Pelodiscus sinensis: one gene and its partner. The protein of the gene in region 1 interacts with the protein of each later gene in a biochemical or structural test. Links are inferred from orthologs where the notes say so. Each region holds a gene or a part of one and is shown in the gene's direction. Other genes may lie near its edges.

Region 1 (7,338 bases):
GGCCGGGGGAGATTGGGCGAGGGAACTGGCGGGCGGGAAGCAGGGCTGGCGGGGGATGGAGGGAGAGTTGGCTGGGGGAGATCGGGAGGAGGAGGGGAGAACTGGCCGCCGGAAGCAAGGCTGGTGGGGGCATCAGGGCTGGCCGGGGAAGATTGGGAGAAGTGGGGGAGAACCGGCCTGGAGAGGGGGTCAGGGAGAGCGGAGGGAAGGAGAAAGGGGGAGCGAATCGGACGGCAGGGAGCAGGACTGACCCGGGCACGTGCAGATCCCAGGGCACTGGCTGTCCCATGCATGGTCCCGGTGAAGCACGAGTGAGTCCGGGTACAGCTCCACAACGAACTGGAACAGCACTCAGGAGCACATACAGGGCTTCCCCTCCTCCCCAAGGCATCACAAGCAACCAGAGGCTCCCAGCGCCGATTGCGCCCTGCCTCCCAGTCCCTGCCCCTGCCCCCGCCAGGCTTCCCTCGGGTGCCCAGCTGGAAAACTAGAAAATACTGGACATTGCCCATGTCTGGTATTTTCTGAATTTTTTTACCGGACAGAGGGCCCAAAAACCGGACAGTCTGGTTGAATACCGGACACCTGGCAACCTGGGGAGGACAGAGGACAAGGCAGGGCTTGGGGCAGAAGAGGGGTGTTACATGGCTGGTGGCTTCCTACCCCCCAATCCCTTCTCTCCAGTCACCTCTGCAGGTAAACTGGAAGGCAAAAATAAAACCCAACATAGAAATTCCACAGATTTTGCCAAATATCCCAGCTGATTAGAGTTATCCCTGGCACTAACTATTTTATCTATTTAAAAACTGTCTTGAAAGTGTCTAGCTGAGTGCATAATTAGTGTATGATCTGAAATATCTGTGCAGCTTGAAAGCTTGTCTCTCACCAGCAGAAGCTGATCAAAGATATTACCTCACTCACCTTGTCTGTATAGTCTATGTAAATTTATGTTAATATTATTATCCTCTTCATCGCTCCATTCCTTCTGAGTTACCCTGTCCCCCTCCCTTAGGCCCTACTTCTGCCACACACATCCATCAGTGAAGCTCCATATAGGCTTAGCTGTGCACCTCTGTGCAGTGCAGTTTCACACACAGGGCCTGAGATAGCCAACACTCTAGAAACAGTTTTCCCACTCTCTGTAGAGTACCTAGCACAGTTATTCCCCTATCCTGCCTTTGGGCATTCCTACAAAGTCAGATCTGATGGGCGATTACTCTTTGCCAAGTATGATCATCTTCCATGGGAGCTGTACTCCCTCAAATGGCTGATAAGGCTGATCCTTGAACCATGTTTTATTACAATGAGGACAGATGTTTCCAGGTACAGCAGGAGGCTGCTGACCATGACTAGAAACTAGTCTCCCCTTCCTCCTGCGCCTTTTCTCCTTTTGAGCATGTTGGCAGGCTAATTCAAAAAGCAGGGGCCATCACAGAGAACTTCTCTCCATTTTGAGTGATCCTGGATGGATGTCTCCCAGCTGTGCATGTTGCTCTTCTTTAAAAGTTATCATTTAGCAAGTCCTTATAATGCTTCTGCTGTCCTCTCATGTTACAGTACCCTTCTTTCAGCTGAGAAAACAGGACTTGTTTTGGGAGACGATGGTCTGGCATCTGAACAACGTGACCAGTCCAGCAAAGTTGCTGACGGATGATCATTGCCTCCATACTGGTGGTCTTTACCTCTTTCAGAACATTAATGTGAGTGTGCTTGTCTTCCCATTTGATCTTCTAGATCTCGAGGAGGCAGGGTGGGTAGTACTTCTCAATGACTTTCAAATAATGTTTGTAGGTTGTTCAGGTTTCAGATCCATACAACAGCATTGGAAGAATGACGGCTTGATAGACAAGAAGGTTCATGATTGTTCAAATGTTGTGATCTTCAAAAACCCTGTGCTGTAACCAAGCAAAGGCTGAAGTGGCACAGCTCAGCCGATGTTGGATTTCTACATCAATATCTGCCTTGAACTAAGGATGTAAGCGATTAGTCGAGTGATTACTCAGCTAGTAGCTTCTCTCCCTTTTGCTGTCTCTGTATCAGAGGCAGGAAGGCTGGGGGAGTAGGAGCCAGTGCTGGGTGGAGCCGGCTTAAAAGTTGGTTCCCCCAGCACTGTCTCCGTAGTACAGGGAGCGCAGGGGAAGCAGAGCTGCAGCAGTCCCATAGGCGGCACGAGATGGGACTTTTTGGTCCCGGTTCACACAGCCCCTGGGAGCTAATCCTGCTGCAGCTCTGCACTTTAAATGTAGTAAATAATGTTATTACATTTTGGCTACGTCTACACTGGCAAGATTTTGCGCAAATACTTTTAATATAAGAGGTTTTGCGTTAAAGTATTTGCACAAGAGAGCATATACACTGGCATGTGCTTTTGTGCAAGAGATGTGTTTTTGTGCAAAAGCATCCGTTCCAGTGTAGACGCTCTCTTGCGCAAGAAAGCTCCAATGGCCATTTTAGCCATCGGGCTTTCTTGTGCAAGAAATTCATGTTGCCTGTCTACACTGGCCTCTTGCGCAAGAACAGTTGCGCAAGAGGGCTTTTTCCTGAGCAGGAGCATCATAGTTCTTGCGCAAGAAGCACTGATTTCACACATTAGAACGTCAGTGTTCTTGCGCAAGAACTCCCCACCAGTGTAGACAGGCAGCATGCTTTTGTGTAAAATCATGTCAATGTAGACACAGCCTTAAAGTGCAGAGCTACCTCTGGGAGCTAACCCCGCTTATAATCTAACCTCCCCCCTCCCCCCTCCCCGCATCAACTACTTGATTAGTTAATGAACTGATACTTAACATCTCTACCTTGGATGAAAGATAACTTCCAAGGTAAAGAAAATGATTGACATTCTCCAATGCCTCTCAATTGATTTTAATAGATGGGGGTGTATGGCACCTTGTTTGGAGAGGGCTAATGGAACACTTAGTCTTCTTGATATCTCACCCTGAATATGAAGAATGTCATAACTGAAGGGGCTACGTCTTGCTGAGAAACCCAGAAAATGCTTCCAGGATTTTATCATGGTTAGTAATCAGTCAGAATACTTCATTTGACCTGATACTTAAATCAGAAAGTCGGGTTATGTTACTCTGTATTGAAATTAGGAAGGGGTAAGTATTTAGAAGCCTGTGGCAGCGAGGAGAACTAAGACAGGAAAGAGTGAACTTTGTTCTGCCCCAGCTGAAACCCATCATAACCGCTCCCTAAATTTAAATAACTGTACATAAGAACGGCCATACTGGGTCAGACCAAACTTCCATCTAGCCCAGTATTGCGTTTGCGGACAGTGGCCAATACCAGATGCCCCAGAGGGAGGGCTCACAACAGGTAATCCTCATGTGATCCCTCCCGTCACCCACTTCCAGAGAAACAGAGACTAGGGACGCCATTCCTACCCATCCTGGCTAATAGCCATTGATGGACCTAACCGCCATGAATCTATCTCGCTCTTTTTTGAACATTGTTAAAGTTCTAGCCTTCACCGCATCCTCCGGCAAGGAGTTCCAATCCCAGAGGATTGCCTCAAGCAGCTGGGATCATCACAGTAAAATCGAACTCCCCTGGACATACAGGACGGGTGGCATGACCAGGGCTAGGTGGCGATGCACTCACCGGCCCTTCTGCATGATGAAGCCATGCGCCTCAGAGCCGCATTCCCCATAGCCATTCCCCCCAAGATGGGCTCTGCCTGGTACACTGGGCACAGGCCCCACACAGCTCAACACAGCACTGCCCTGATCCTTTCTTCTCCCCACCCAAGGCACACATATTAGCAGGGGCGGGGCTTCAAGCTATTGACAGCCTTTCAGCCAATCGCTGCAGGAGCTGAGAACCAATCCACAGCGGTCATAGAGACGTGGGGGAAGTCCTTTTCTGCACCTCCCTGAGGAGGCGAACGGCCGCCATCTTGTATGTGGCATGCTCTCAACCCGCTTCTAGCTCTTCAAGTCCTTATCGTCCTCGGGATGCCTAGCTATAAGCAGTCGTTCATATGATGATAGCGATGGGAGGTGATTGAAATCCTGGGGAGGCGAGAGACGGCTGGCAAGCGCCTCACTCAATATGGCGGATGAACTACACCTTCTTCAAGATGGCGTCGACAGGCGTTTGCGGGTGACGTCATCCCGCGTCGCTGTACGCTGGTGGTGGGAGGCCCCATCTTAGTGGGGAAGGGGGGGTGGAGAAGTGGTTTCCATAGCAGCGTAGGGTTTTTTTTTTTTTGCAGAACGTTACGGGCTGCCTTTTCTACGGGCTTTCTTTTTTTTTTTAATGGTTTCGACTAGGCCCCGCCCAGCGTGACTGGGACGCCCGGCCCCTCGCCGTTCTGTAACCACGCCCCCACCGCTGACCGCCCAGCCAATGGGGAGGCGAGAGGGGAGGCGGCGCGGCGAGGGCTCAGGCAGGGGCGGCTTTCGGGCGGCGCGCCTCTCTCGGTCCTTCCCCGCTGCCCAGCTCGCTGCCCCGGGGACGCGCCGCCATGGCCGAGGACCCCAGCTCCCTGCCCTGGTCCATCAACAGGGATGACTATGAGCTGCAGGAGGTGATCGGTGAGTGGGGCGCGCGGGCCTGGGCTGCCCGCTCCCTGCGGCGGGGGGAGGCTCTGCGGGAGCGCTGGGGTGGGGGTGCGGCTGCGCTGGCCGCCGTGGCCGTAGCGGGGCTGTGCCAGCGGGCCGGGTGGGGTGTCTGCTCCAGACCGGGCCTGGCTGCTGGGGGTGTGTACCCGACCGGGGGGGGGTGTCTGCCCGTATGGGAGACGAAGGTCCGGGGTGGGTGTCTGCGCCCGTGCCAGAGTCAGAGGGCGAGGGCCCGGGGTGGGGGGTGTCTCCTCCCATACGGGAGTCGAGGGACGAAGGTCCGGGGTGGGGGGGGGGGGGTGTCGCTGCCCGTACGGGAGTCAGGGGGCCCGGGGTGGGGGGGGGTCGCTGCCCGTACGGGAGTCAGGGGGCCCGGGGTGGGGGGGGGGGGGTCGCTGCCCGTACGGGAGTCAGGGGGCGAGAGGCCGGGTCGGGGGGGGGCGTGTCTGTCCGTACGGGAGTCAGGGGGCCCGGGGTGGGGGGGGGTCGCTGCCCGTACGGGAGTCAGGGGGCCCGGGGTGGGGGGGGGTCGCTGCCCGTACGGGAGTCAGGGGGCCCGGGGTGGGGGGGGGGGTCGCTGCCCGTACGGGAGTCAGGGGGCCCGGGGTGGGGGGGGGGTCGCTGCCCGTACGGGAGTCAGGGGGCCCGGGGTGGGGTGGGGGGGGGGTCGCTGCCCGTACGGGAGTCAGGGGGCGTGGGGTGGGGTGGGGTGGGGGTCGCTGCCCGTACGGGAGTCAGGGGGCGAGAGGCCGGGTCGGGGGGGGGGCGTGTCTGTCCGTACGGGAGTCAGGGGGCCCGGGGTGGGGGGGGGGTCGCTGCCCGTACGGGAGTCAGGGGGCGAGAGGCCGGGTCCGGGGGGGGGGGCGTGTCTGTCCGTACGGGAGTCAGGGGGCCCGGAGTGGGGGGGGGGGGGGCGTGTCTGTCCGTACGGGAATCAGAGGGCCCGGGTCCGGGGGGGGGGGGGCGTGTCTGTCCGTACGGGAATCAGAGGGCCCGGGTCCGGGGGGGGGGGGCGTGTCTGTCCGTACGGGAATCAGAGGGCCCGGGTCCGGGGGGGGGGGGGGGGCGTGTCTGTCCGTACGGGAGTCAGGGGGCGAGAGGCCGGGTCCGGGGGGGCGTGTCTGTCCGTACGGGAATCAGAGGGCCCGGGTCCGGGGGGGGGCGTGTCTGTCCGTACGGGAATCAGAGGGCCCGGGTCCGGGGGGGGGTGTGTGTCTGCCGGTACCGGAGTCGGGGAACAAGGGTTCGGGCCCAACGTATGTGTGTGAGGGTGTCTGCTCTGGCTCCGGAGACTGGGGCTGGCTCCTGGGAAGAAGGGCCCGAGGTGTGTGTGTGGAGGGGGGTGTCGTGCCAGGTAGCAGCGGGCTACGGCCCAGCGTGTGTGTCTGCCTGCCTGCCTGCCTTGACCCTGGAGACCGGGCCTGGCTCCTGGGGGGTCGCTCCGAGGTGCGTGCGTGTCTGTGCTGGGGGTTAGGGGCCCCGTTCTTCCCGGCCCTAGCGTGGGGGTGTGTCTGCCTTGTCCCTGGAGATGGGACCTGGCTCCTGGGGGTAGGAGTTGTCGCCGGGGCATCTGCCCAGCCCTGGGGGGGGGGGAGGGGCGAGGCAGGGCTGTGTGTTCCTGGCCTTAACCTGGAGACGTGCTGGCTCGGTTCCTACTCCGGAGGTGGACGGCCGCGAGGGGGTGTGGCTCTCCCGTTGTCTCCCTTCCGAGTCAGTTTCTGTGGGCTGGATTCCTGCTCTCGGGCTGGGGGATCTTGGGGTTTAGGGCCGTGCTTGCAATGGAGGGGCTTTGTTCCAGCTCAGGAAATAGGAGGGCAAAGGGGGACTGGGCTCTTACTCCAGTTCTTTTGTGAGTGTTTTGGGACCTGGGAGTGCCCGTCTCATCAGGTCTGCAGATGCCTTGAGAACTGTATGTATGCTCCTAGGACCTGGGCAAGTGTAAGATTTCCGGGGTGGGGTGGGCCTGGCAACTCTGGAGCCCTGTGGGGCTGTCAGTTTCTGCTTCTGGGAGTGCTAGGATTTCTGAAGTGTCTCTCTCTTATAACTGAAAAGGGAAGGGAAGTCACTATACACTCGCTCCAGTGCCTATTGGATCTCAAAATAATTAGAGTGTATGTTTCTGGAAGTGTCTCTAGGGAACTCTGTATTTTTTTCCTCTGGAGTTGTGTATTGTAGCCTATGGTCCAGTGGCTTCCCCTGCCCCCTTCACTGAGTCAGTGGATTTCACTAGTTGAGTCATTTGGGAAAGAGTTCTCTATATTTTTCTCATTTTTGGGCTGTCTTTGTTTTCGAATTGGAGATATTTGCTATGGGTGGTTGCCTGCCCACTTTGGGTTTTGGAGGAGGAGTACCTTTTGTACCTTTTGATGCATGGGCTGTCTTGGTTGGTAGGAAGGATGAAGTGATAAGGTGTTTATTGAGGGGTTTTGGATGTTGATAAATAATGAAGGGCAGTTTATATTCCAGAATCCAAGGAAGACAGTTTCCTTTATAGAGCAGCTGCTCCAAGCTTTATTCAGTCAGAAGGGAGAGTCCATTCATATGGTGATTATTAATTTCAAGGCACTGTATATGCCTCTGTTTAGAAGAGGAGGGATTTTGCTATGGTTGCGTCTTTATATAGTTGAAGTCTTTTTCATTCATTCTTTTTTTCAGCTTCAGAGAACAGCCATTGCTCTTATGAATGACGGAGTCTCTGTTGACTTAAATTTCATTGGTGTGGTAGATTTCTCTGTCCTGATTCTCTCAATCTTTCTTTTTAATAACTTTGTCA
Region 2 (7,436 bases), on another chromosome or scaffold:
ACATCCTCTGGCAGGGAGTTCCACAGGTTGACTGTGTGTTGTGTGAAGAAAAATTTCCTCTTGTTTGTTTTAAACTTGCTACCTGTTAATGTCATTCGGTGACCCCTTCAGCTCTGTGTCATGGATGAATGGGAGAGCTTGGCATGCAGAGTGCTTTCCATGTGGCAAAATGTGACAGATGTTGTCCAATTCAACAGAAAGGTCTTTAGCATTGATGGCCGAACGTTCCCCATGTGTCTGGTGAAGGTCCACACAATTGTTCAAGAGATTTTCCTGTCCGCTGGCAGCTTACTACGGTCACACAACCATCCTCCCTCTTCCCCTACAGTCTTTTGATGGTGCTTCATTTGTCCAAATGTTTCTTTGATGGCTAATCAAGCAGTGTCTATGAGCAGGGCTCAACAAACTATTGAATCTACTCGCCCGTGGCGAGTAGATTTCAGCCCGGCGCCCCGTTTACCGGTGGCGTGCACATGCACAATGCAGCTCTTGCACATGCGCAGTGCGGGGTTGGCGAGTGGCTTTCGCTGCCGTTTGTCAAGCCCTGTTTATGAGTGAGCAATAAAACTCCCTCTTGAATTTTCTTCCAAGCTTCCCATCACCTCATCTCTGCCCTCCTAACCAAACTTCTTCCGATTAATATGAATTTCCTTGAAGATGGGCTTAAATCCTCAGTTTCCCCACATTTCTTTAGCTGCAGTGTTGATAGTATCTTCAAGTCTGTTGTCTCTGTAGGCAACAATGAAATCATAAGAGAAGATAAGAATGGCCAGAGTGAGTCAGACCAAAGGTCCATCTAGCCCAGTATCCTGTCTGCTGACAGAGGCCAATGCCAGATGCCCCAGAGGGAGGGATCACAACAGGTAATCCTCATGTGATTCCTCTCCTGTCATCCATTTCTAAACAAATAGAAGCTAGGGACACCATTCCTACCCATTCTGGCTAATAGCCACTGATGGACCTAACCTCCATGAATCTATCTAGCATTTTTTTGAACCCTGTTAAAGATCTAGCCTTCACCACATCCTCTGGCAAGGAGTTCCACAGGTTGACTGTGCGCTGAGTGAAGAAAAACTTCCTTTTGTTTGTTTTAAACCTGCTGCCTATGAATTTCATTTGGTGACCCCTGGTTCTTATATTGTAGGAATAAGTATATAACTTTTCCTTGTTCACTTTTTCCACACCGGTCATGATTTTATAGACCTCTGTCTAGATTTTTTTTGAACCCTGGTCTTCTCTGGCAATCAAGGCAGCTTCTCCTCAACGTAGTAGCAGTCGCGATGTCCATTCACCGAGTCTGTCATGCCTTGTGTGTAACGTGTACTTGGAACAGGAGAACATGCCAAACCACAGCTGAGACCAGAAATTTGAAGCCAGGGATCTGCTTTGCCAGGCTTTGTGCCTCGTCTTGGATTCTGGCCTTGGCTTTACTTGGCTGCGCCAGTTCACGAGGGCGTCATAAACCTCAGTCGCTTGGTTCCCGCCGGCCTTGATGCTGCTCTCCCAGTGTGTGTCACTTAGTGGCAGAGGTGAAAAGTGGCTGGTGCAGGATGGTTCGGCGCACTAAGACCCGGCCACCATACAGGTCTGTGTACGGCTGATACTAAACGCCGCTGGCAGAGGGGGGCTGCCTCAGGGGCCAGCAGTTTATTAGGGCCTGGGTCCTTCAGATTGCCATCAAGAGTCCCAGGGCTCCAGGCTGCGGACACAGCAGCCATGAAGGACTAGTTGGGGCAGTCTGCCCCCTGCCTCACTCCTTCTGGCTGAGGCCAGGTCCCTTCTGGGGGCCCAGAGCTGCTGGCCAAGGACACCCGAAGCAGTACAGGACACACCGGTATGTCCCAGCATCCACCGTCACCCCTGCCTAGTGGTGTCACAGTCCAATTTGTAACATTGCCTTTTTTCCACCTGATTGCGGATGCCAAAAACAGGGCGTACCTCCTTTGCAGCAGTCCGAAAAGAGCCTGATTCTAAAGACGACGATGCTGCGTCTGACACATCTAGGGCGAGGGGATGGCAGTCACAGCTGTTTCTGTCATCACACGAGGTCGATTCTTCCTAACCGTTTCTCTCCTGTTCACATAAGCCAGGTTATATTTTGCCACGACTCCCCTTTTCATATTCTCCTGTATCACCACGCTCCTTCGTACCGCCAAGAAACCTGGACGATTCTCCATCGCTTTCCTCACATTTTCCTTCCTTCTCTTCAAGTACATCTTCTAATTTTATAGTCATAGGACTCCCCTCATTTATATGTCACTCCTCGATTTCTCTGCACTCGGACAACCCCAACAGCCGAAAGTAAGCCCAGTCTGTGTCGTCCTGTTTCTGCTATTTTCCCATCAGATTTGCCCCTTGCTGAAAACTAGATTGCAACTGTGCTTTTTGCTTCCTTCTCTTCCGGGGAATCTTTTATTTTCTTCAGTGGAAAACAGCCAGTGTTAGGGAGAGCAAAAGTCCTTGTCCTCCAGCCTTAGTAAGTCATCAAACATTACATGATAAGCCTGGCAAAGGAAATAACAGTCTTTCTTTTATATTGTAGCATAGGAAAAATATCTATTGAACCCTTATCTTTCTCATTCAATCTGTCCTTTATCTGGTGCTAATTACACTCTTCACATCTTAAAACACAATTACACAGTAAATCGGGGGTGGGGAACCTTTTTTGGGTCGGCAGCCACTGTCCCACAGAAAAACCAGTCGGGGCCCACACAAAAGTGAGAAGCAAAAAAAAAAAAAAAAGTCACTGATGTGAGAAGCAGAAAGACACTCCCCATGTTACCAGAGCATGGGGGGGAGGGGCTGAGCCAGTAGATTTTGTGGGGTCCTCTAGCCTCTAGGGTGGGGCCAGAAAATGAGGAGTGCAGTATGTGGGAGGAGGCTGCTGGGAAACAGGTTTGGAGTGTGGACCCTGGGCGGGAGGGAGGGCCTCGAGGGCCGGATCCAGGCAAGCCGGGGGCCGAATCCGGCCCCTGGGCCATATGTTCCCCATCCTTGATCACAATATGGCACCTGGGCTTTCACTTCATTCTTATATCTCCCTGACTGACAGGTGACGGGCCGCCCCTGAAATACCTGCAAGGGCCTGGCTGACACGTTCTTGGAAGTTTGAGGAAAATGTGGTTCTCGGAAAGTCTGGAAGGTTCCACACGATTCTACAAAGGGCCGGAACATTCTAGGAGTTTAACGAAAAAAGAATCCACTCACAAATGCCTGGAACATTTTACTTCCAAGATTCTGTTCTCTTTTGTCTAAAACCAGCCCTCCGAGCCTGGTGCCCCCCACGGCCGGCACCCCAGGCAGCAGCCTGCCCCGAAATCTGGCCCAGGTTCTGAGCACGGGGCAGTGACAACACCTGCCTGGCTCTCCCTACTCACGTCCCTGAGCACTGGAGAGTTACCACCTCAGCAGAATAACGCGCAGCCAAGTGAGGGAAGACGTGACCAATGGGGACTCAGATGGGTTAATTCTCCTGTTTCCTTGCCGCATCAGCGTTTTAGAGGGCGCTTCCTTGGTGTGGGGGTGGCTGGATCAGGAGTCTCCGCCAGCAGGAACGGCCTCCCCGAGTGCGCTGCAGAACAGACAGCTGAGGAAGGAGCCCTGGACAGCAGGTGGTTCTGTGTTGCTCATAGGAACGCATGCCAAAGCGCGGGGGTGGGGGACCTAAGGCCCAGGGGCTGGATGCAGCCCCCAGCTTGCTTGAATCCAGCCCCTGAGGCTTAAGGCTCCACCCTAGCATTGGGGAGCTGGTGCTCCCCCCCCCCGCTCTCTGGGTTTTGAGGGGAAAGTGGGGAGGGTCTTTCTCCTTCTCAGTCGGGGGCCACGACAGTGAGGGTTTGGTTTGGGTTTTTTTGCTTCTCACTTGTGTGCAGCCCCCGACTGATTTTTCTGTGGGTCAGCGGCCCTGGTCGTGGTCGAGGTCCCCCCCCGACCCGCTAGCAGGACAGAGCAGTGGGCCTCTCTAAGAATAGCAACCACATTTAACCTCCCGAGATCTCAAAGCGCTTTGTGAAGGGGGTCAGCAGCACAAGCCCATTGGGCAGATGGGGAAACGGAGGTCCAGAGAGAGGCAAGGGTTCGGCAAAGCAGCAGTGCCAGGAACAGAACCCTGAGCCCCCTCAGTCTACCCCCACTTTAAGCCAGGCTCCTGCCTTTCCCAAAGCAACATGGACAGGACAGAAGGACTTGGGCATTAGTTGGGCACCCTGGGCTAACACCTTCCCATGACGTGGGTCTGTCTTTGAGCTGCAGGCAGGAGGCACCTGGCCCACAGGGCTCATTAGCCCGCAGTCTCCCCAGGGGTCTTAATGCCCTCGTGCTCCTAGCCCAGCCTGGGTCTATCTGCAAGGAGGGTTGTTTCTTTGGGGCTTTCTCCGCGCCCCCCCCCCTCCGGAGCCCACTTGGGGCTGCACAATGGAGGAGCTGGTTTGGGCAGGAGGACTCCTCCTGTGGCCACCACAACCCGCTCCAGAGGCCCCAGGGCAGCGCGGCTCGGAGCGGGGCACAGAGGCCAGGCGGCTTGGTCGCCCCGCCTTGTTATTGTAGGGTCGCTCCCGCAGCGAGGGGGGCTCCGCGCTGTCCCAGCCTCTCCAACACCTCCTGGTGGCGGGGCGCTCCGGGGGCTGCTCCCCGGGCTGCGCAGGCCAGGCGGCTGCGGGACCCCGCTCTCCAGCGCTGGGGGCGGGCCGGGGGCGGTGCCGGGCGGGCGGAGCTCGGCTCCGGGCTGGCGCCGCACGCACCGCGGCTCCCGTCCCAGTCCGGCTGCGCCCCCCAGGTGCGAAGCGGCGCGGGGAGCCCCTCACCCCCCCCCCCCATGCTGATGCTCCACGTGGCCGGGCCCCCCGCGGCCGCAGCCATGTCCCAGCCCGAGGTGGATCTGTCCGGCTGCGGCATCGCCCTGGAACCGGGGACCCCCGGCCGGGCAGCCCCGCTCCGCAGCCGGGGGCGCAGGCTGGCGGGCCGCGAGAGCCGCCGCGGCTCCTACAAGTTCAGCCGGCGGAGCTCGGCCGAGCTGGAGCGGCGGGGGCCGGGCCCGGAGGACGCGCGGGGGGACCCCCGGGCTCGCCAAGGCGCGGAGCCCGCGGCGCGCTCCGGCAGCGAGACGCCCTCGCCGCCCCCCGGCCGGGGCTCCCCGCGCGGCGCCTCCCCGGACGAGAGCCGCCGGGCGCAGGACGAGAACGAGGAGATCGAGACCCGCGCCGTGGCCACCTCCCCGGACGGCCGCTTCCTCAAGTTCGACATCGAGATCGGCCGCGGCTCCTTCAAGACCGTCTACAAGGGGCTGGACACCGAGACCACCGTGGAGGTGGCCTGGTGCGAGCTGCAGGTGGGTGGCCGGGGGCGTGGCGGGGAGCAATGCGGGGGTGGGAGCTATTGACCCAAACTGTGACCCCCCCCCATGCGGGAGACCACCCCTCGATCCCGCACCTGTGCCCGCAGGTGGGCTGGGGCAGTGATCCCTTGGCTGCACAGCCTCTAAGAGGCAGGCGCATCCCAGTCTCTTGCCCCCTGGTGCGGCACCTCCAGCCAAGCTGCCCCACACGACCCCCCAGGTTCCCAGATCCGGGGGGCTCTGCTTCGGGTTAACCCCACACTGCCTGGGAACAGGGCAGCCCTCCGCTTCCCTTGGAGGGTGGATCGAGGAGGAGGGCTGCAGGGGAGTCCCCACAGTGCCGGGTGCTGGATGACTGGGCCGGTCGGCGTGGGGAGGAATTGGGCCTGTGCAGATGGGACAGAGCTTGGCCAGTCAGATGGGTCTGGCTCCCTACTTTGGCTTTGCCCCGGGGGTTGGCAGGGCTGGGGCAGGCCGTGGGGCTGGGCCAGCTTTCCTGCAGGAGGCCAGGTCCGTGGCTCCTTTCACCAGAGGGACTGGAGAAAGGTGGGGGGGGGGGTGTGACTGGCAAGCGCCCCCTTGATGGGCCTGGGACTGAGCCGTGGGTCAGATGGGGCTCTCCTGCCCCCCCCCCCCAAAGCTGAGTTCAAGACATGCCCCCACCTGGCATCTGAGAGGCAGTGTGTGGCGCTTCCCCTGCCCCCTCTGTTGGCTTCAGCCTCTTATTCCTTGGGCCTCCCCTACCCGCTCCTGCTGCTGCCTCCCACTGAAGCAGGAGGCATAGAGCCACGTGGGTTCAGTTCTGTTATCGCTGGCTCCTGCGGCCCCAGGTCCTCCCCTCCCATGCTTGTGGCCTCCTGTGGCTGGCACGCCGGACCTGTGCAGCGCAGGGTGGTGTCTGTTACGTAGGCGCCTGAGCTGGCAGCTGCCGCCACAGATACTGAATTACTCTAATTCACGGCTATTCCCAGCGGTGCCATTTCTGCAGATGGACTGCAGCAGCCAGGCAACGCCGGCCCTTTCCTGCTCCCTGGCCTGGCTCAGATCCACAAGTGCCATGCGCAGGCAGCTCGGGTGTGTGGTAGTTCTGCCGTGGTGGGCCCTGGTGGGAACGGCTCCCAGCTTCGTGCGGCTCTGGGCTCCCCACGTCCACCGTAGCCTCGCATCCCTTGGTGATGGCAGCGAGCCAGCCCCGCCCCTGCCGATCCCTGCCCCAAGGAGCTGCAAGCTGCGTATGGGGCCTTGGGTGCCAGGGGTGCAGGTGAAGTGCCAAGCAGTCTTCTGCACCGGCTGCCCGCCCAGCAGAGGGGCTGCTTCAGATGCCAGCCGTGCCCCCATTGCCACTTTGTGGGCAGCTGGTTCCTTCAGTTTCTGGTTTAGGGCACCGCTGGCACGTGTTCAAGGAGCTTTTGAAGTGTAGAGAAGGGCCACGGCACCAGCCACGCCCTCCCCTCCCCCTTTGGGGCCACGGCACCAGCCACGCCCTCCCCTCCCCCTTTGGGGCCACAGCGCCAGCCACGCCCTCCCCTCCCCTCCCTTCGGGGCCACGGCGCCAGCCCTCCCTCCCCCTTCGGGGCCACGGCACCAGCCACGCCCTCCCCTCCCCCTTCGGGGCCACGGCGCCAGCCCTCCCCTCCCTTCGGGGCCACGGCGCCAGCCCTCCCCCTCCATTGGGGCCACAGCGCCAGCCCCCCTTTGGGACTCCAGGGCTCCTGACCGTAGGCTAGGAGTGCCTGTGGGTTAATCAACAGATATTTGTTGGTCGGGACGTATGGGCTGTGGGGGGTTGCGTGACGCTGACAGAAACCGTGGTGCCCTCCAGGGCTGGATGCAGGAGCTGTTTTACCGCCCCCGGACCTGGCGCTGTCTGCTCTCCTCTCAGCTCTCCCACCCCTTCCTCCTCCGCTGCCCCCCTCCCTTTGCTGGGGTTAGAGAGGGGGGTGTAGACACTGGGGCGCTTGTGCTGAGTGTGTGGGGGGGGCGGTTTCTCTAGCCCCCTTCCTCCTTCCTGCTGCAGGGCTGGATGGGAGTTCTCCCGCTCTGGGCTTCGGCTGCCGTCCAACCTCTCTGACCACCGTCTTGTCCTTGGGGCGGCTGGCGCAGC

The links. The genes of interacting proteins can lie anywhere in the genome.
Region 2: the proteins of OXSR1 (region 1) and WNK4 are reported together in a solved structure, tested with the Homo sapiens proteins (2 studies listed by BioGRID and IntAct, with this or other methods). The link is inferred for Pelodiscus sinensis from reciprocal best matches to the Homo sapiens genes OXSR1 and WNK4.

Annotation. Positions count from the first base shown.
Region 1 is NC_134712.1:247,504,674-247,512,011, reverse strand, and holds the start of OXSR1 (serine/threonine-protein kinase OSR1), read left to right. Parts: upstream 1-4,331; 5' UTR 4,332-4,468; coding exon 4,469-4,538; intron 4,539-7,338. UniProt on the Homo sapiens protein: Effector serine/threonine-protein kinase component of the WNK-SPAK/OSR1 kinase cascade, which is involved in various processes, such as ion transport, response to hypertonic stress and blood pressure.
Region 2 is NC_134739.1:8,658,823-8,666,258, reverse strand, and holds the start of WNK4 (serine/threonine-protein kinase WNK4), read left to right. Parts: upstream 1-4,357; 5' UTR 4,358-4,813; coding exon 4,814-5,326; intron 5,327-7,436. UniProt on the Homo sapiens protein: Serine/threonine-protein kinase component of the WNK4-SPAK/OSR1 kinase cascade, which acts as a key regulator of ion transport in the distal nephron and blood pressure.